Linked DNA regions of Arabidopsis thaliana. The protein of the gene in region 1 interacts with the protein of each later gene in a pairwise test. Each region holds a gene or a part of one and is shown on either strand. Other genes may lie near its edges. The genes, in order: NPSN13, ALMT1, DER1 and UMAMIT41.

Evidence for each region.
Region 2: the proteins of NPSN13 (region 1) and ALMT1 interact in a protein complementation assay, tested with the Arabidopsis thaliana proteins (one large-scale study listed by BioGRID).
Region 3: the proteins of NPSN13 (region 1) and DER1 interact in a protein complementation assay, tested with the Arabidopsis thaliana proteins (one large-scale study listed by BioGRID).
Region 4: the proteins of NPSN13 (region 1) and UMAMIT41 interact in a protein complementation assay, tested with the Arabidopsis thaliana proteins (one large-scale study listed by BioGRID).

The regions. Positions count from the first base shown.
Region 1 is NC_003074.8:5,969,021-5,974,237, forward strand, and holds NPSN13 (Putative plant snare 13), read right to left. Parts: upstream 3,553-5,217; 5' UTR 3,271-3,552; coding exon 3,194-3,270; intron 2,979-3,193; coding exon 2,886-2,978; intron 2,655-2,885; coding exon 2,561-2,654; intron 2,246-2,560; coding exon 2,208-2,245; intron 2,049-2,207; coding exon 1,948-2,048; intron 1,618-1,947; coding exon 1,538-1,617; intron 1,456-1,537; coding exon 1,399-1,455; intron 1,324-1,398; coding exon 1,231-1,323; coding exon of another isoform or gene 1,227-1,230; intron 1,147-1,226; coding exon 1,072-1,146; intron 991-1,071; coding exon 889-990; 3' UTR 545-888; downstream 1-544. Other genes in the region: AT3G17450 (hAT dimerization domain-containing protein), read right to left, coding at 3,773-3,928, 4,014-4,403, 4,488-4,571, 4,661-5,217. UniProt on the Arabidopsis thaliana protein: Vesicle trafficking protein that functions in the secretory pathway.
Region 2 is NC_003070.9:2,656,933-2,661,871, reverse strand, and holds ALMT1 (aluminum-activated malate transporter 1), read right to left. Parts: upstream 3,271-4,939; 5' UTR 3,073-3,270; coding exon 2,862-3,072; intron 2,740-2,861; coding exon 2,599-2,739; intron 2,466-2,598; coding exon 2,193-2,465; intron 2,099-2,192; coding exon 1,977-2,098; intron 1,890-1,976; coding exon 1,746-1,889; intron 1,434-1,745; coding exon 843-1,433; 3' UTR 562-842; downstream 1-561. UniProt on the Arabidopsis thaliana protein: Malate transporter critical for aluminum tolerance. The STOP1 transcription factor is required for ALMT1 expression.
Region 3 is NC_003075.7:14,442,785-14,447,765, reverse strand, and holds DER1 (DERLIN-1), read right to left. Parts: upstream 3,214-4,981; 5' UTR 2,830-3,213; coding exon 2,813-2,829; intron 2,216-2,812; coding exon 2,080-2,215; intron 1,974-2,079; coding exon 1,900-1,973; intron 1,813-1,899; coding exon 1,719-1,812; intron 1,470-1,718; coding exon 1,341-1,469; intron 1,259-1,340; coding exon 1,098-1,258; coding exon of another isoform or gene 1,061-1,097; exon of another isoform or gene 1,004-1,060; coding exon 814-1,003; 3' UTR 529-813; downstream 1-528. Other genes in the region: PRF4 (profilin 4), read right to left, coding at 1-48. UniProt on the Arabidopsis thaliana protein: May be involved in the degradation process of specific misfolded endoplasmic reticulum (ER) luminal proteins.
Region 4 is NC_003074.8:10,440,870-10,445,969, forward strand, and holds UMAMIT41 (nodulin MtN21 /EamA-like transporter family protein), read left to right. Parts: upstream 1-1,738; 5' UTR 1,739-2,114; coding exon 2,115-2,305; intron 2,306-2,393; coding exon 2,394-2,459; intron 2,460-2,969; coding exon 2,970-3,083; intron 3,084-3,231; coding exon 3,232-3,460; intron 3,461-3,552; coding exon 3,553-3,714; intron 3,715-3,822; coding exon 3,823-3,974; intron 3,975-4,157; coding exon 4,158-4,347; 3' UTR 4,348-4,562; downstream 4,563-5,100.

The DNA.
Region 1 (5,217 bases):
AGAAGAAAAAAATCTTTGAAACCAAACAAAGAAGTTGCAGCACCATCTAGACCCGTGTCCTCGTGTGTCAGGTGAAAAATTCCAAATTTGTTATGAGATAGAATAGCGGAGATTATTACCAATGATTAGCTGGAAAACTAAAAAGTCTCAAATTCGTTTGTAGTGAATTGACGTTAAATTTATATATTTGTGGTCTTAATTTTTTCCATCATCAGCCGACCCTGGATTCAATTATGTTCCGGCTTCTGAGCAGCATCTCTTATATTTGAACTCGATTGATTGGTACAAAATATTAATGTCTTCAAGGTAAATTCTGATTGGAAGAGTAGTAATTGATTCTCCAGTAATAGAAAGGTGAAACAAAACGAATTAAAGGAGAATACAGTCAGTAGTTTCATAAATACTTAACGTCAGAAATGTAGTAGTACTCTTCATCACGTTCTTCGTATTAGCAAGTTACAGAAAGTGATAACCATTTGGACTCTTCTAATGAAATTCCAGCTGTGTCATGAAACTTTCTACAGTAGGACGAAGAAAGGAATCTAATGAAAACGTGAGAGAGTATAACATTGGTCTGAATTTTATACAAAAGAAGTGATAAGTTGCTACAAAAAAGAAGAAGGAAAAAGAAATAGAGACAAAAGCTGAAAATATACACACCCTCCAATCAAACCCAGATTCAAACGAATGGGTTAAAACAAGTAAAAGAACATGAAGATAAACATCCCCAAGCCTCGTCAACTATCAAAGCACACAATGCCAACAAGCACAAACCCTCTCTCTAACATCCATGAAATGGATTGTTAACAAATTAGAAGGAAATATCGAACCTCAAGATGCAATTTCCTCATTCCTCGTGAATAAATATACAAATAGAGATTTATATTCTCACATGTAGTCTTGATTCCTCAAGTACAATAGCTTCCTCGATTGCGCTGGAGGAGCTAATCCTGGGATGTCCCTAATGTCTTTGTTATTCGGATTCACGATCTGAAGAATTAATACAAAAACCAGAGTTACAACTTGCTAATGAGCAATCACAACTTTCAACAGAGAGAGAAAAGACAGTACCTTCACTATGATTATGGCTACTACACCGCATACAATGAGAAACAGGAACCCCATTATGCATTTATCGGTAGCCACCTGAAATAAGTAGACATAAGCATTCAGGTTTTGAGGTCAAGCCAAAAAGGATAAATCTACATATGTCCATATGAGGTTACACACCTGTCTCCCTATCTCTTTCACCAGCTGGGAGGCCTTCTTGATTGAGAATTGAATAGTGTCCAAGTGGTTAACTACGCGTCCCATTTGATCCGTCTGCAAAATTTTCAGGTTGTTTAAGACTCTACTCATAAGATTAATATGGAAGTAAAGGAGAATAATTTGCATTACCTGTCCCTTTAAATTAGCTGCAGTTTGAGTTCCAACTTCGAGTGTTTGTTCTACAACCTGAAAGGAACAAGAATGTTACCATAGATATATTCATATAGTAACAAAGGCTAAGGGGAACATAATTCCTTCTGTAACTTACCTGTTTTGAGCGCTCAATGGCCTGATCAGTCTCATCCATTCTTTTCATTCCAGCATCAACAAGCTCCTGGTTTGACATAGCTATACATAATAAAATGACAAAAGCCTTCATCAGTTTTTACATTCCCAATATAATATACTTCGCGCCTAATCAAATTATCAGAATCATTCATTTCTATTATCTAGGCCACCGATAACATTTCTAGTGCCATATTACCATCTGCCAGAAATTTACTGACAGACATCACAAATTATGCCAGACGAATAACCAGAGAGCATTAGTTACCAATCCAACATATTCAAGTACATATAGCATTAAAAAGTCTAAACTTCAAGCATGTCAATCTCTAATTGTTCTAAGCAAACTCATATTTTGGTGGCAACTGAAGACAAGAATGCATAAGGACTCACATGAAGCCACTTGAACATTTTCCTCAGCTGTAGGTTCGCCACTAACTCCAGCTCCCATATCAAAAAGCTCAACTTTCTTGTTGCCAAGGGTACTCATATACCTGAGATTCAAGACCAATTTCACATGTATGAACACATAAAAGTCAAATGAAATCCTATATAGATATTCTGAACGGATCGATATGAAATCAAAACCCTAAAAGAACAGGTTGAGATTCAAATAATCAGCTTTCTTAAAGAGGAATGATAGAAATACTAACGTTTTTCTTAGAGCAACGTAAGAATTGAGCTCCTTGATCTGTAACATTATACAAAAGAAAAAGTTAAACACAGATGTTAAAAAGTTCATACAAACAAAATGTTAGCAGATACAAAGTACAGAGGGGAGTGATAGATACACAATGACACTCAATATCCACCTTAATATATCCATTCGGTTATAAACACACCTAAAGATTGACCAAACTGAATACGACTGATGCTGTATAATGGAACTTTACGAAGGTGCCAAGTAAGAGTTAATATTCACATATTTACTTCAGATACATATGACATTGTAGTATAATCAAAGAAAGGCCTCAATGAATTTAATAAACAAAGGATAAAAACTCACCATAGATTGTTTCTCATCGTTCAATTGCTTATTTACTTCAGGAGAATTTCTAGCTTCCTCATCCTTGAGTTCACGGTCGAACTCTTTGACCAATCTGACATGAAGTACACATTAGACAAGCAAATACAGATTATTGAATCATGGATTTGTCACATCAATACTCTTTCCTTCTCAATTCTCATTATACGGCATCGTATCCAGCTCAAAGAAAAAGAAGTACGCATAACAGTGATCAAAGAGCACATTCTACTAAAGGCAATTAGCAAACAATGTTGTAACGCCGAGAACATAATGGTAAAGCATAGCAATTATGAAATAAGTATACCTTTTACACTCTCTCATCTTGTCAGTAAGTTCTTCAAGTTGTTTGCTTTGTCTAGTTGAATCCTTAATCTTATCCAACCTCTGGAAACCATTCCTGCAAAACAGATAATGGTGAATCATTAAAAGAACAATCTTTTGAGTGATGACTAAATCTAATTCTTATCATCAGCATTAAGCAAAACACGCATAAATCCTATTGAGCACACATAATCAAAAAATTCCAAAACCCTAAAATATATATCACAGTGTTTCGTAACCACGACAGAGATAGTTAGAAAATTGAACAAGAGGATAACATGTAAAACATACGCGAGGGCTCGGAAATGGTCACGGATTTCGCCATGGATCTGCTCCAATTGAGGGCTCATGGGGAGATTAGAAGCCATGTCGCCGGAGACAATTCAGAATCCGACGAAAATTTACCCAAAAACTACGTCACTGCATCTAAAATTTCCCTCCAATTTAAATTAAAACCCTAATTAGACAAAAACTGAAGTTAAAATCTCCAAAAAGAGAAAACACAAAGGAGAATGAATGAAAGACGAAACAAAGGACGACAAAGAACGGGAAAAGGGAAAGAGAGCTGTCAGGTGTGTGTTGTTTTTTTCTTTTTTATTCAAACATATATATTTTTTAAAAACAAAATTGATTAATAAATAAATTAAAAAGACAGATATTCGGTAGTTAAAAAAATGACAGCGAGGCGCCAACTTTTTGGTCCCATCCATATCCGTTGTTAGATAAATTATTTCACTTTCACTAATTTCACCTAATAATACTTTGATTATATTCTTCTAGCCAACAAAATTTTCATATTTTTCGAATATTTTAAGGATACAATGCTAGAATTCAAAATACAGTGTTACTTCGTTAGAATTGTAGCACTAACTAATCATCGTCACTAAGATCATCATCGTAAGGATCAAGGTTGTCTTCACCTTCACCGTCAACGTTACCAGATTCCATGTAAAACTTCTCCTCCTCTTCCTCATCGTCTTCATGGTCTTCCTTCTCTGCTCTGTCTTCCCCGTGCAAAGCCTCCTCCTTCACCAATAAACTACATTTATTAGCCTTTTATAAAATCACTGGAATGGCGTTTAGCGTTTCTCACTTTAAGTAAGTTAAGTACCTCCTCCTTCTCGGATGTTACGAGCCAGTCAGGGAGCAACCGATCCAGCAAAGCGTGGTTAAGAGTTGGTGGTGGTTCATCCTCATAATGTAGCCGTTGCTTCAGCTGTTTTTCTCTGAGCCGTAAGTTGTAATGAACGTATGTTAGATCTTTCGTTGATTTTTTCCCAAATTGGCTCTGGCATTGACTGTTAACTTGGTCGTACACGCTCCACTTAGGCTCACACCCAACAGACGAGCAAGTGTGGCTCAGTATCCGAACCGCCACTCGCTGGAGTTCCAAACAGCTTATCCCATGCTGTTGCCACCACGCCGATGGATCAAGCTCTGTTCTTGTGCCAATGGCTATATCCGTTCCAAAATCAGCTTTCGCACAAGTATAATCCGGAATCTGAAAACATTTCAACAAAAAGTTGGTTTAACCTCAGGTTCTGAGAACAATGTGTGTGACTTGGTGATTTGTTTTTTGTCTCACCTGCATCAATGCTGTGATTCTACGCGTGTTATCAGGCTCAAGCCTAACAATGCATTCGTTAACTCCACGCACAACCTCAGACTGCTGCAGATTCATTCACATTTACAGCAAATGTAAGGAAAATGGCAGAAAGCTTTTAGTCATTGATTCAAATGAATGATAATCATACCTACCGCCATAAAATCAGGACGATATTTGTATGCCGGGTTGAAGAAATATGCAGCCACATAGAGAGGATGATGAAACAATGGGTTCCAACGGTATTCTATCACCCGCCAAAACGGTCCGTATTTCCTTGCATCATCGCTATGAATAGACTTGATCGCCATTTTCGCACAGCACATGTAACCGTAAGCATATGGCATAGATAGTCTATCGCCACCATCATTGATCATGTGAATCACCTGCATCACCGGATCAACCGATTTCAAAACATACTGAACCTTCTTCCAAAACACAGCACTCAACACCATCTTCTCCACTTCTCTTCCCTCTTCAGACTTGGCGGCGGTCTGTGACAAAATCCAGCCGTCAGATTGAAACAGACCTCTGAGACTGGCCTTGTGGTCCATAAGACTTTGAAGAGTGGTGAACCCGGAAGCGTGGCGCATGACTGCTGGTCTAAGAAGATCTAGTCCCTGTGTGAATTCGTTCTTCATAAGATTAAGCAGCCATGTTTGATTGTAAATGAATCTTGTGATTCTTTGGGCTTTCTCTAAGCACTCGGAGA
Region 2 (4,939 bases), on another chromosome or scaffold:
AAATGTAGTATTGGTTAGAACGCGGAATTAGATAGCAGCTGGTGCTTTTTGCACCGAGTCACACTCAGCCTTGCCAATACCAAGTTGGCATCAACGTACGGAATCCATTAGCCATTACCCCAATCGTACAAGGCAACTTTATTATACTATAATCTAACCTAGCTAAATTCACACAATTTCCAGCTTTTGTTTCTTATATATATCCTTAATGTATTGAACGTACTGTATGTTTGTTACTTCATCGGCAAGTATGAAAGTTTGACTTTAGTGAGAAAATTTGTCACCTGAAACATTCTATTAGTTGTGCATATTACCGTATTGGTTTTGAGAATTGAAAGCGATTACAATGACGCTTTGGCACTGGCCAAGACCACTTTTGTTAACCGACTCCTCCTCTCACTGCGCCTGATCACCGCCTCCTCCAATGATAAATGATTTTTTTTTTCATACGATATATGTTTGGAATAAAATTAATTATATTCATAGAAAATAACAATCTAGAGTTTTTGCCGGACTTGTCTTTATCTGGCGCCGGTCTATGTTCTTTTATTTACTGAGGTTAGCTCTCTAAAACACCATAATCCAAAAATAAAACCATGCTATTTTTAAATTTTTTGATCAGTTGGATATAAAAATCTTTAAAAGAGTAACGCAAAGGAAAACGAAGACCAAGACTTTATTAAATGTGTGACCAATAGTTCAAAAATGATCAAAGGCGACAATAGTATTTGTAACAAACTTCAAATCTGAATGAAATACCCGAATATGTTATATACCGATGGTCTCGTCTCTATAATCTTGCGGGTACAAAAGACTGCTCCTCAAATAATGAGTTGAATTACTTACTGAAGATGCCCATTACTTAATGTATGTACATGTATTTCACCATCTTCATGTTTTTCATGGTTTGAGTTATCATCAACAATCTTTATGGCAACATGATGACATGAGTCCTGTGAACTCCCTCCACGTGAATCATCAACATTGTTTGATCTATCATTATCAACGTCATGTAAAACTGTGACAACATGATGATCTTCATGAGAATCTATTGGCATGGCACGACCAATGCTTCCGGAATCCGACTTCTCGTATAGCACGGTCGGCCTCATCTTGTTCTTAAATCTTGCAGCGGATGCAAGCTCGTGTACAGATTCCGAGATCTTTTCGGTTAAGTTAACAATATCTATGAGCATGGAGACAGTCGTCATCAATGAGATCATTTGAAGAGGCTCAACATCGTTCAAGATGCCTGATTTAAGTAAAGTAGAAAGAGATTTGCATGCAGCTTGTGAGTTTGAGACATGGATATCAGAAGAAGATGATTTTATCATTTGTTTTAGTGAAATGGACATTTCTTTCATTGAGTTTCCCGATTCCGAGCTCATTCTTCTTAATGGTGTTTCTAATTTCTTTTTTATGTCCACTGGGATCTAATAGAAAAAATAAGAAATAAACAAAGGGTTAGAAACACGTTAACCAGAAACATATACTACTATACATGTTTACACTAAAAAAAAAAACTATATAAACAAATTAACAGACTAAGAATTTCAACCTGATGTTATTTTTGTGTTTGCATTTGCGACATGTAAATATATATATATATATATATATAGATATATATATTGTATTAGATCAAAAATAGTTATAGCATAATAGCATATTAGTTTTTCTTCTTTTATGTATTTTCAAATTTTGTTTTAATTAAATATGCAAACACCTAACAAAAAGTTAGCGATTACCTGAAAATCTGAGTTGATGTATGAATTCAAGGCATCAATCCTGTAGGCACACTGCCGGAGTAATGCACCAACGGCAACATATTGTTTCCATGGATGCCTAAACCTAAATTGTCCATGAGGCGGTTCCCATTCTGCGTAATTAGCCTAAACGCAAAATATCAAAACAAAATCAATCCAAATGATTTCATAATTGTGAAGCAAGTAGGGAAAGAAAGAGAGAGAGTAGCCCACCAAAGCTTCTTCATCGCTTTTGGAGTCAAGAACACTTTTATATCTCTCAAGATTCTTTTTCCTCTTCTCCACTACTTTGTAGTCCCCCTTCTCTCTCGCTTCAAAATATTCGTCCCCAAAATCTGCCAATTTCACATTCACTATCTCGTATATGTATATATTTATGTTCTTGTAGAGACATAATGAGGAAAAGAAAAAGAGAAAGAAATAAAAAACCTTGAAGGAAGTGGGAGAGAGTGTCAAAGTTAGAGGCAAGGAGAGAATGTAGATCTTGTCCAGCCCAAACAGGACAGACAAAGATAGAGATAAGGATGCAACTGACTCCTCCAATCACCACTGTCGATAGTCTGCTTTCTGCCAAATCCATTATCTCTTCGTCTCTAAACCCCGACAACGATATCAGCGCGAACGTCAATATGAATATCAATATCCCATAATCGAACTTTGTCTTTACCCATGGGAAAAACCTTACGAACGTCGACAACGCAGCTGCACATATATCACAATACTAATTACTCATTGCCCAATCTTCTTTGATCTAGTCTTTAGCCAAACAATGATTGACCAAACGCTTGGAAACGCATGGTAATCTGAAAATGTAAAGAGTGTTATAAGGGTTTACCTTGCACAAAGACCAACATGACCAAAAGAATAGGTTCCACTGTTGCACCCGACAATCTTGCTAGTTGATGAGCTCCAATTCCTAGTCCTCCTGCTACTAATGTTGCCACTCCTCTATTTAGTCCTTTCCCAAGTGTAGCCCCTAAGTACACATCAAACCAAAGTTATTTAATATTATGGCCAAAAGTTTACAACAAAAATTCTTGCATTCTCCCTAGATATATCTACTAGACATATTCAAATGATAGAAACTAGATGACGAACCTACGGAGAATTCAAAGACAACAACGACGGTCATGACAGCCCACATTGCATTGATACCGAAGTAATCGGTGAAAGGACCGAAAGGTTGGTAATAATAGAAGGAAGAGACCAAAACAAGAGCAAGTCCCACTTTGAAAGCATGAATAATTCTTCTCGGGTCTTCATTCCCTACTCTAATCCCTTCTCTCACTATCTCTCTCACTTTCTCCATAACACCTTTTGATGGTCACTCAGCTCTCTCAAGTGTTTTCTGATTCTCTGATTACTTTCAGATAGAAAGAAAAGATGACTTGTTGTTTTTATGTACATGGATCGATGTATTTATAAAGACCAAGAGAGACTCTTGTTTAGGACTCATGAAATGTTATGTTAATATTTATAAAAAATTAGTGGTGCGTTGCACTTCGAGATTTCAGGGTTAAAGTCTTAAAGAAATGGAAAAGGAAAATGTAATAAAAAAACGGAGTCGAACCTAGCCCAGTAAGTTGGGCACTAGTTAAGCCCTCCCCTTAATTGGAGCGACGCGTGAGGGTTTTTATGCTGAGCTGGATTAGTTAGATGAACCGGTAGGAGTTGATCATGATATTAATTAGGTATTTAACTATCATACTTTAGTGAATTGTATATAGTGTATGCATGATACATTTTGATTAAGGAATATAAAAGATTTAACTAAACTTTTTCTTGCAGCTTCCCCAAATAATTTCGTTTCTGTAATCGACAAGATTAGTGCCCTCAACACTTGGGCTCCAATGTTCGAATGATCTTTGCCATCTACTTGTTTGTTCCCAACCAAGTGCATACACACCTCAACAAAATTTTGTTGTTCAAAGAAAACTTGGACTCTTTTACTGAGTCCAAAAAAAGGACTCTTACTGAGTTGCTTAGTCATTATTGTTTCAATCTAGTCTGCCACACACCAAAAACATAAAAAATGTCAACAAGTTGGTACGGACCCCAATACCCCGATCGTACAAGGCTTTTATTCTTTGGATATTTTATATGTATAACAACAGTTGGAAAAAATGACCTCAAACTCAGATGCGATGATTACAAGTTTGACCAATACATCATCAGGTTCAAAACTAATTGTTGATTCTCTAATCAAACAATTAATTTGTACTAAGGGATTTAGACAAATTCACTTCTCTCTTAGCTCACGAATAATCAAAGGAGAAGAACAAAGTTGCTTGAATAAAAAGCTAGAGTTTGCTCTGTAATAGTAGTCTCTTGTCTTAGGTTGGTCATGATCCTCTTAGAGGGCTTGACCCCCCCCCCCTATTTATACAATGGGTCCAACATACCAAAATATGATAAACTTCTAATTATCTTAGGTCTAAATCTTCATTACTTCTATTCTTCATGAGATCCTCTTCTCTTAAATGGAAGTTTTCCCTTTACACGACCTGAGAAGCCGCCTATGGCGATCTTGACTGTCGACCTAAATCTTCTGGCGAGCTCATGACTTAGGCCCATTAACAGACTAGCCGGGATACCCCGGTTCAATCGAATTCTCGATTTTATTCACGTTATTCCTTGGTTTAAATTGGTATTATCGGAGATGCTAATTCCTGCACCAACACTAATCAAAACTTTTTTTTTTTAATCACCATCCTATATCCAAAACAATATTAAAATTTAACCATCTAATACCCTCGAGTTTTAACTTCAACCATCTGATCCTCCAAAAATTTTGTTTTTTTTGTTCTCACCGCTAAAACATGATTTTTTGGAGCCAATGACAGCATCGATGCCAAATCACATCATATCGACATCACCAGTGTTTCATTTGAAGGCCACAAAGCACATGTATAAATTTATGAATCTCAAGCAAATCGAGTGACTGAGTCCATCACCCGAGGATCCATGAACCAACTCAAAGTCGCTTTCAAGGGCATAAGTTCTTTCTTTTCTCTTCTTTTTTGGTCTAGCTTAGACAACCAAAAGGAGCCAGGAAAATTTTTCGTATCATATAATCAACACAAATGTTACAAAGTATGAACTGACAATAAAATTAAAATACACAAAAGCCCCCCCCCCCCACGACATCAGACCATCCTCCACCTAATCAACCATTA
Region 3 (4,981 bases), on another chromosome or scaffold:
GCCAACATCACACATCAAATGCTCATCAACGTAAGTTTGCCACGACATCTTCTTCTTCTTTTCTTATTTTTTTTCTTCTTCTTTGTTTATGATCTATACGTTAAGTGCCCCGGTTATGTGCAGCGTGGGGACTTCGTCCTTCAGATAAATAGGAGAGGAAGGAACAAGGATCATTTTAAAACCGTTGGATCACATAGACGAATTCTCAGCCCTACATCTTACTTTTTCTTCAAAAAAACAAGGAGTGATTTTCAATTAGTGCCGCTCAAGTTTCGCCTTTGTTATAGCTCAATCATTGTTTCGCTATTTGCCACGTCTACTTTCTTCCCTTTTCCTATTTCCCCTATTTATAAACGATCACCAACGGCATTTTAGAGGAAGGACCGAAGGAATGATTATTTACTCGTTAGTCGTAATCTTGTTAGCCAATAATAATATTATGTCCTAAAAAATTCAAACTTGTTACGACCAAACTCTTTGGTCACGAATTTAATAACTTATCTAGATAGATATTCAAACTCGTTACGTCCAAATTCTTATGTCACAAATTTCATTTGATTATATTCATAGTGGCTATAGTTTATCGAATTCAATTTAGTAAGGAGATGATTGCTAGACAAAAACAAAAACATAGAAACATGAACCACATTTTGAAAAGAACATTGTATTAAAACCTCAAAGATTCTTCCTACAGAGTCATATATTCAAAAACTGTACTGTTCGAAAACACAAAGCTACCTGGGATTAGTTAGTGGCATTGTTTGAAAAAGATTTGATATGATGAAAACAAAGAAACTCGAGAAGATTTCTATTTCAGTCGGTGAGACGATATGATCGACCTCTGAATGCTGTGTTTGAACTCTCGGGTGGGGCACGAGCGCTTGAATAAGCTCCTCCTCCTCCTACTCCTCCTCCAGCTCCGGGTCCTGCTGCTCCTACACCACCTGCTTGTCGAACACTTGCAACTGGAGCTCCAATTCGCCATCTTGCTACGATTTTATTACTGTTGAGAATGTCAAGGTACAACAGCAAAACAAAAACTGAGAAGCGAGAGAAACAATCATCTGGAAATAATCGAGAATTTGAATAAAGGATACACCCATTTTGGGGTTTTCAGGTAGTTTTTTCCGGTAGCAAGAGGATGAAGGACTGTTAGGAAGTAGTATAGATGTCCAGCTATGATGCCAAGAAGATCTGGCATGATCGGAGAACCGAAGATAACATCAAGTGCTAGCATTGCCCATGGGAGGTAGAAAGCCTGTGGAGTAATTCCAACTTTCACCATTAACATTATATATACCAAGGAGTGGATTTGATTACAAAAGAAACACTTTCAATACCTTAAGAGTGACAAGACCGTATAGGCTGATGTTGGCATTTGGAAATTCTCGGCTCCAGAGATAAAGAAGCATGAACACAAGTGAAACACCAAGAAACGGTGTCCAGAAAAATGGTATGACTGATAATACCTGAAATTTGAACAAGGTAACTGTTTTAACACACGGATTTACTAGTATGAATACCTTCCAAAATTTTGTCTCGCTTTAATAAAATGCAACCCTGATTCAATTCTTTGAGAGCTTCTGATCTTCTCAGCTTTGGGATATTATGTACCAGCGATTATCTACTTTGTGGCATACCACATACTAGTACTGGGGTTCTCAAAGAACCAATAACAATGATCAGTAAGAATAGAATACAGGGGAGGCTTTACATACCAATAGAGTGAAGGATCCAAAGATCATCATCCACAAAAAGTCTGCTGTCCGCCTTTCAAATGGCCCTTTCTCGAGTTGAACTCCATATCTTGCTCTGCACAATCATTTAAAAGAGTATGTTAAGATAATAAAAATCGAAATTAGCTTTGTTCATCTATATATGTGAAAATAGTATGCTCACATCATCAAAAGACGTATTCCAAAATTGATAGAGAAACCACCGAGGAAAAACAAGTTTGTTATCAGCCTCCAGATCTACAAACACCAAATAGATCAAAAATTGCAGAATGAATTAGGAACTTAGGATGACAGAGATTTGTGAGAAAGAAAGGAAAATCATAAAAAAGAATAAATCATATACCTGGAACTGCTTAAGTACAAGTTCAGGAATTAAAGCAATGTGAACGGGAGCAACTAAGCCAAGCTGCGTGGCTACTGTAGTGAAAAAGCACAACGTACCATAAGCCTTGGTTATAGGTGGAAGTGAGTTATAGAATCTGCAATCAATAACAAGCGATCTAAGAAACAATTTGACAGATAAACAATCAAAATCATACATATTCCATCCATCTATAAATTTCTAATCAGGAAATGTCATCAAGATCAGCTAAAGCATAAAACTTTACCACAAGAGACAAGCCTACGCAGAGATATTTTAGACTATCGTAGCTAGGAGAATCAAAGTAGCCTTGTAACTATGATACAGCAAACGAGAACAGTTTTGCTTCAAGACACTATGAGATTCCATATTTCAAGAACTAACTACCAGTTGACTTGTACTAACTTCCATGGCATAAAAGATGTTTCTTTACATCTCAAATCACCAAAATATCAAATGATGACAATGCAAATTGATAACTATATACTAAAAATAGCGTTAGCTCAAGTTCACAGAACTCGCTTGGTGTTGCAAAATTACGCTCGAATTGAGAAGAATCAACAGTTGAATGCTTCAAAAACCCCTATACAAGCTAAACGAATCATGAAAATTATTAACCTAAGGACTCAAAATCCTGGGTACGAAGACCAAGCTAAGAATCTCTCGATCAAAATCGAATCGAAGCAAAGTTTCAATAGAGGGGAACGGAACTCACTCGCCAGGAGAAGACATGTTCGTCGATTTTCGAAGATCCGAGGTTCTGAGTCCGATTCAAGATTCGAGATCCGATATAAGCTTTGAGAGCACCGCAAAACAGAAGCTCGAAAGTTCCAGAATTTTTTTTCCTTCTAATCATCTGAAAACTCAAATCACTTGTTTTTGTTAGGCAGCTGCGTAAGTTATCCAATCATACCTTGCCACGTCGTGTTAATTCACCGTCTTGAATACGTGGCACGTTTTAATTTGTAATCGTGTTTAAACTTGTGGGATCAATTTCTCTTCTTTCTGATGCGTCTCTACTCTCTAGTAGTCTGTCTCTATGATGATCCCCAGTTGGCCAGTTTATTGAATTGGGCCAAAGAGGCTTTTATTTGACCCATTAATAGATCAGGCTCGAATTAGATATGTTTATAAATGTTTTTTTCTTTGCCAAAAAAAATAATGTAAGAATATGAACCCTAACAAATTAACAAGAAAAGACAATGCAAAGGGAATCTAATCTCAAGGAATATCAAAATTAGAGAAACATTAGCATTAAAGCAATGATCTTTCGCAAGTATGGTCGGAACCAAAGATCCGAGATTTATTATTAGTTTCAATAATAATGTGTTTTTAAGGTAATTAAACAGAAAATCAAGATTATTTAACCTGGATTAGGTACGGGAGAGGGTCCATGTGCATGTGACGGGTCCCAACCAGATAATCTTGACCCGATTCGATCTCACTCCTTGTCTGCTGACTCATCCTTACGTCATTCCACACAATGCTTTGTTATTTGTTATTTTGTTGGTTTTGCGTGGAACTGCAAGGTAAATTGATCAATAATAATAATGTATTTTCTAATTATAATCTGCTAAAAATAATATTGTAATTTCTCATTAACTGTAAACAATTTTAGTATTAAAAGAATTTTACAATGAATTTCAAAACTGATTTGATGTTGTCCTATGTAGTTTTAAACAAATAGTAGTAGACGTTCTTTTCATAACTTAGAAAGATTATTGTGATATTGAGCAATATCGATCTTCAATGTTTATATTTGAATAAGAATCTCAAGATTTAAAAATAATTTCTTAAACACAATCAATAGGGTTGGTACATAAACAATTACAAGTTTTTTAACAGTAAAAACCGTTTATACCGTTATGTTCTTGTACTGCTTTATTTTATTTTTACCTCACAATAGAACGAGATATCTCTTCTCGTTACAAATCACACCTAGCTAATACAACATAATACCTATTGTTGAATACAAATATTAAGATACGATACGGAGACAATATCTGAACTATAATTAAGTTGATAAGCATTTTTGGCACCACATTACGAGATATGCCAATATGCCACTTGGTTTCTTTTGGAGTATATGCGAAATATAAGTTTGATCAAAGAGTAGTGTTAGTGCTTAGGTGGTTAACATATGTTTGATAAAAAATGTGACATGGTATAGATCATGTGAGTTGTTAGATACGTTATAAGATTTCATTTCATGACCTTATATAACTTATTAAATATTAGTTCGTTGTAATGTTCCTAAGTTAGAGCTTTTTATTGGTCGTTACGTTGGAGGCTACGTAAGTGGGTTTCATGCATAGTCACGCGAAAACAGCTTTTGGACGGCTAAATACCCCTTCTAATTATATGATTGATTAAAAAACATGTATAATCTACACAGTTAACAGTTTACTAACTATACTTTTTTACATTATCGTTGAGAAAATGAATAAGATTAAAGGGTCCCTAGATTAAATGTGAGTGGAAAAGAAAAGAAAAAAGGTTTTGGTTCTTTTGGATTGTTTGACCTATCGATAGAGACATCGCAATGGAACTTGCCAATGGCGAGAGAGGAACATGCAAATTTCATTACATTGTGATAAGTTAAATCCCGGAAAAGGAGGGAGGAGAGAAAACGACATATTTGCAACCAAAAGAAAAAAGTGATAGAAAGATGCGTTTAAAAAAGCAAACAAACTAAAATCATTTATGAACAAGGAAAACAAGAGACCGAGCTTGTCAAATGGCAAAAATGGTGGACCTATCCATGTTTCAGTAATTCGCATGTTTAATGTCGGGAAACTAGTTTTTCGTTTTTTTCTCCCATTGTTTTGTGATAGAAATGACAAATTTAATACTCACAAATTTAAAACCACCCACATATTTAGCT
Region 4 (5,100 bases), 4.5 Mb from region 1:
CATTTTAAAACGTATATAGTACAATGTATACGTAAATAGTATATTCACAAAATAGAATAGTATCTCTCAAAAATCTTCCAAAATCAAAATCGATTTATTGGCTATTTCCCTTTAGAATTTCCAACATCGTAAACCCTTTATCGCTTCTAGATCTAAGAAATCCATAACATGATCGTCAATTTGTTGTTCATAATTCTCAATTTTATTTTCCATGGATTTACAAATTAAAATTCTCATATGAACTTTGATGGGAAAGTGAAGATTAATTTGACATAATTGGCGAAAGGATTTCACCGGATTTTTCTAGTATTCTCTGGCTGACGAAGAATAAATATAGTCAGAGTATTATTGCGCTAATGGTGTTGTTATAAAATAGAGTAAATCAGATTTGAGTGATCCTATCGACATTTAAGATTGATCCATATATAATTTTGACTTTTGTTTAGTTGATGGTGATGTATGTAAAGATTCGTAAGAAAAGGGCGAGATAGATGAAAGGAGCACACTTCATAAAAGAGAAGAAGATTTATTCACAAGGATGTCTTTTGAAGAAGAAAGAAGAAGGAGAGCGAGATGTACAAACACAGTAAGAAAAGGGAGAGAGAGATGAAAGGAGCACACTTCATAAAAGAGAAGAAGATTTATTCAATAGGATGTCTTTTGAAAAAGAAAGAAGAAGGAGAGCGTGATGTACAAACACATGATAGTATTGTCAATATTATATATATTATACATAATATTTTTTTCTATTGTTTGAAGTGTTAGTTTACCAATTAAAGTATTTTTGTTGGTTATATTTGCCAATTCCCCAAGTATTTATACCATTTTCGAAGTTTCGACATAAGTTAAAAAGGATATAAGAACCGGAAAAATAACGAAAATCTACAGAAAGAACAGACAATGACAAAACAACAAAGGAGGAAAACATATGTATAGAGCGAAAACAAAAGAAGAAACACCGATTCCAAAATGCCAAACTCGGAAATTTGCGTGATTTCCTCCACAACTCCAAGAAGCTGGAGTCTCATCCTAAGTTGTATACCTAATTTGTTTACAGAAGTTATCTATGGTGCTAAAAAAAATGGTTTTAACACTTGAAAAAAAAGCTTTTACTAAAGTTATATATATATGGTTTAGTGGTTTTCTTTAGTGTATGAGTCGATATGAGAGGACAGTAAAAGATAAATCATTTTTTATATAAAAAAGCTGTTGAATATTATTTGTTATTTGTGATAAACAATTTGAATAGTAAAACATGTTACATAATTTCTTTAGCTAGTGCTTATAGAAAATTGATTTTAAAACAAAATAAAGATAAAAGTTAGTTTCTATTCAAAAAATTGAAAATGATTGCCACATCATTTAAAACTAAAAGTTAAAAATTAAAGGTAAAATTGGTTTTTTTTTTTTGAAATCGCTTTAATTGTAAGGGTAAAAGTGGATATTTGTTTTTACTGAAATCATGAGTATGAAAATAACAGCAATTTTTTTTGGATAATAAACGCACATTTTAATTATTATGTGTATTTTTTCCAACCAAAAATAATTGAGTATTCAACGTCTAGATAAAAAAGAGACTGAGATTTTTTTCGACTTTTTCTCCAAAAAAAACGAAGTTCCAAAAATAATGATGAAATTAGTAGTGGTAAATGGTCAATTTAAATCCGTTGCTACAAATCAAAATTTAAATCTGTAAATTAACTAAATCTATTAAATTATTAATGAAAACCAATGTAAAAAGAATCTCAACTTCTCAAGCATACTTTGTTTCAAATATTCTACTATTCAAAATACTCCCTTAAATCATAACCTGAAACTCACATAAGCTGATCCAAAATTGAATTTCATTCCACAATTTTTCTCTTAAACTTCATATAAACATGTCAGCATGTTACACGGCCTTTTTTGTCTGCTTCATATATCTCTCAAGTGTGTGTACTACACAATAACATTTCCTGAAAATCTAACTTTCACCCACTCACCATCTTTTCTTCTCTCTTTCCCCATCAAAAAAAACAAAAACAAAACACAACTCTGTTTCTCTCATCTTAAAATTCATGTAAAAAAAATCTACAAATCAAAGAGAGAAACAGAGTAAAGAGAAAGAGAAGAAGATGGCGCGGAAATACTTTCAGAGAGAAGTTTTGCCGGTAACGGCTTTGGTAATAATGGAATGTGCAAACGTTGGTTTAAACACTCTGTTTAAAGCAGCAACTTTGAAAGGCATGAGCTTTCATGTCTTCATCGTTTACTCTTATGGTCTCGCTGCTCTGCTTCTTCTTCCTTCTCTGTTTTGCTCTTTCAGGTCTCTCTCTCTTCTTGATTCGATCTCGATACTAAATTTTTCATCTAATCTTGAAAATTGGCTAATCGGTTCTTGTTTAATTTCACAGATCAAGAACTCTTCCACCGATGAATTTCTCTATTCTCTACAAAATCGTGCTCTTAGGGATTATTGGGTAAAAGTCTCATCTCTTGAAATTTTCTACCAAATAAAAAATTCTCAGTTCTTGAAATTTTTCTTTAATTTCAAGCAATACCTGAGTGTTGCTGAAATAGGTTAATTTGATCTTTAATTACCTGATTAGATCAAATTTTTTGCATGAGTGTTACTGAAATTCTCAGTTTTTGTTTACCAAAATTTAGAGAATAAAAAGTATAGAAAGAGACATTTGGCTTAAAGTTGGTTCCAAAAGCTGCAACTTTACTGCAAAAATCTAAAAACATTATTATTATTATAAACAAAAATAAATTCAATTTTTGGGGGTTTATTTATATGATTTAATCTTAGTAAAAAAATGGAATATATTATTTGGTTTTGGTTATAAAATTTTTGATTAATAAAAGTGTGTGTTGACAATGTATATAGATGCTGTTCATGATTTATTCTTAGTAAAAAGTGGAATATATTATTTTGTTTTGGTTATAATTATTTGATTAATAAAAATGTGTGTTGATAATGTATATAGATGCTGTTCAAACATAATGGGATACACAGGGATAAATTATAGTTCTCCAACACTTGCTTCTGCAATCAGCAACCTCACTCCTGCTTTCACCTTCTTGCTTGCAGTCGTTTTCAGGTTTGACAACAACATTTCTATATCCTATTTGACATATTCCTTTTACATTATCAATTTACAAAATTACCCTCCGTCCATTAACTGTATATGGGCCTTATTGTTTAGCCCATGAGGTTATGATTTGAAAACGTTTGGTGTAATGTTGTAGGATGGAGAGTGTGTCTTTTAAGAGAACAAGTAGTGTGGCTAAAATGTTAGGAACCGTTGTTTCTATTGGAGGTGCATTTATAGTGACTCTTTATAATGGTCCTGTTGTGATTGCTAAATCGCCACCGTCTGTTTCTTTGCGATCGCAATCGACTAACCCTAATTGGATACTTGGTGCGGGTTTCCTTGCGGTCGAGTATTTCTGTGTTCCATTGTGGTACATTGTTCAGGTCTGAACTCTATATGCATATATAACATATATGTCACTATGTGAGTTTTTTGGTTTTCTGATAGAATCATATGTTCTCAATATTTTTTGTAGACTCAAATCATGAGAGAGTATCCGGCCGAGTTTACCGTTGTTTGCTTTTATAGCATAGGCGTTAGCTTTTGGACCGCGCTAGTCACATTGTTCACTGAAGGGAATGACTTGGGTGCATGGAAGATAAAACCGAATATAGCTTTAGTGTCGATCGTTTGCTCGGTGAGAATATAATTACACTCATGTGTTTTTCCCTAGAGATTATGAGTGTGATTAGTTTTTTGACAAGCAAAATGGTTTTATTTTGGTTGATTCTATTTCTATGTTTAGGGATTGTTTGGATCTTGCATAAACAATACTATCCACACGTGGGCATTGCGGATCAAGGGGCCTTTATTTGTTGCAATGTTCAAGCCATTGTCTATTGCAATTGCTGTTGCAATGGGAGTTATCTTCCTGCGAGATTCTCTCTACATCGGCAGGTACAAAAACAACTCACACTTTTATTTAAATAGTAACGGGTGAGTCCAAGATTAGTTTGGGACTTGCGGTTATGTTAGAACCATACCTCAAAAAACTGTGGAAAATATTAACTAGTCATTCTCTAATTCTCAGCTCACTTTAACTCTTTTGGTTTCCTTTCTTTGCTTGAATGATGATCCCAGCTTGATCGGGGCAACGGTAATAACAATCGGGTTTTACACGGTAATGTGGGGAAAAGCCAAGGAAGTGGCCTTGGTCGAAGATGATAACAAGGCTAACCACGAGGAGGCCAATGAAGCTGACCTTGATTCTCCATCGGGTTCACAGAAGGCTCCTCTCTTGGAAAGTTACAAGAACGATGAACATGTATGAGTATCATCAACTAGTGAAGATCACGCTATATATATATGTGTGAAAAAATTCATATGTGAATTGTCTTTGTAATTTATTTGATGAGACAAATGTGATCTTTAATTTTAGGATCCAAGTGTTTTCTAATCACAATCTAACAAGTCCTTTTTATATCCTTTTTTTCTTAGTCTTTCACATGATTTACACTAGAATGATTCCAATATCCTTAAGAATAAGACTAATTCTTCACTTAAGATTTAAGAACATCTTTTAGTGATAACTGATAACTACAGGTTTTGGCGACCAATTTTCATTTGTTTTATAGTCCTTGATAGTGGTGACGATATGTCCTGGATTTAAGACTTACTATGAACTGGAAAATTAATTGCTCATCAAGAAAAGATATTTAACCTAAAAATCTCAAAAATTATCCTAAAAATCTTTGTCCTCATAACTATAATTAAGTTACTAATTAACTAATGGTTAGACATTTTTTTTTTTTAACTATATAGTAATAGTGTAATAATAATTGTTGAAAGTGGTTTTTACTTTTACTGCGGTGGGATGCAAAAGTAAGTTGAAGTTGAGATTCTAAAGCTCCTAAATTGGTCAAACCGTCAAACCAGAGTTTCAGATTCAGACAATCAAAAACAAAACAAAAAAAATGGCTGGGAGATTCTGTCAAAGAGACGGCGGGATCATGACGGCAATGGTGGCGGTGGAGATTCTGACAGAGTGTAGCCAAAGTAGTTGGAACAATAGTTTGCATTGTGG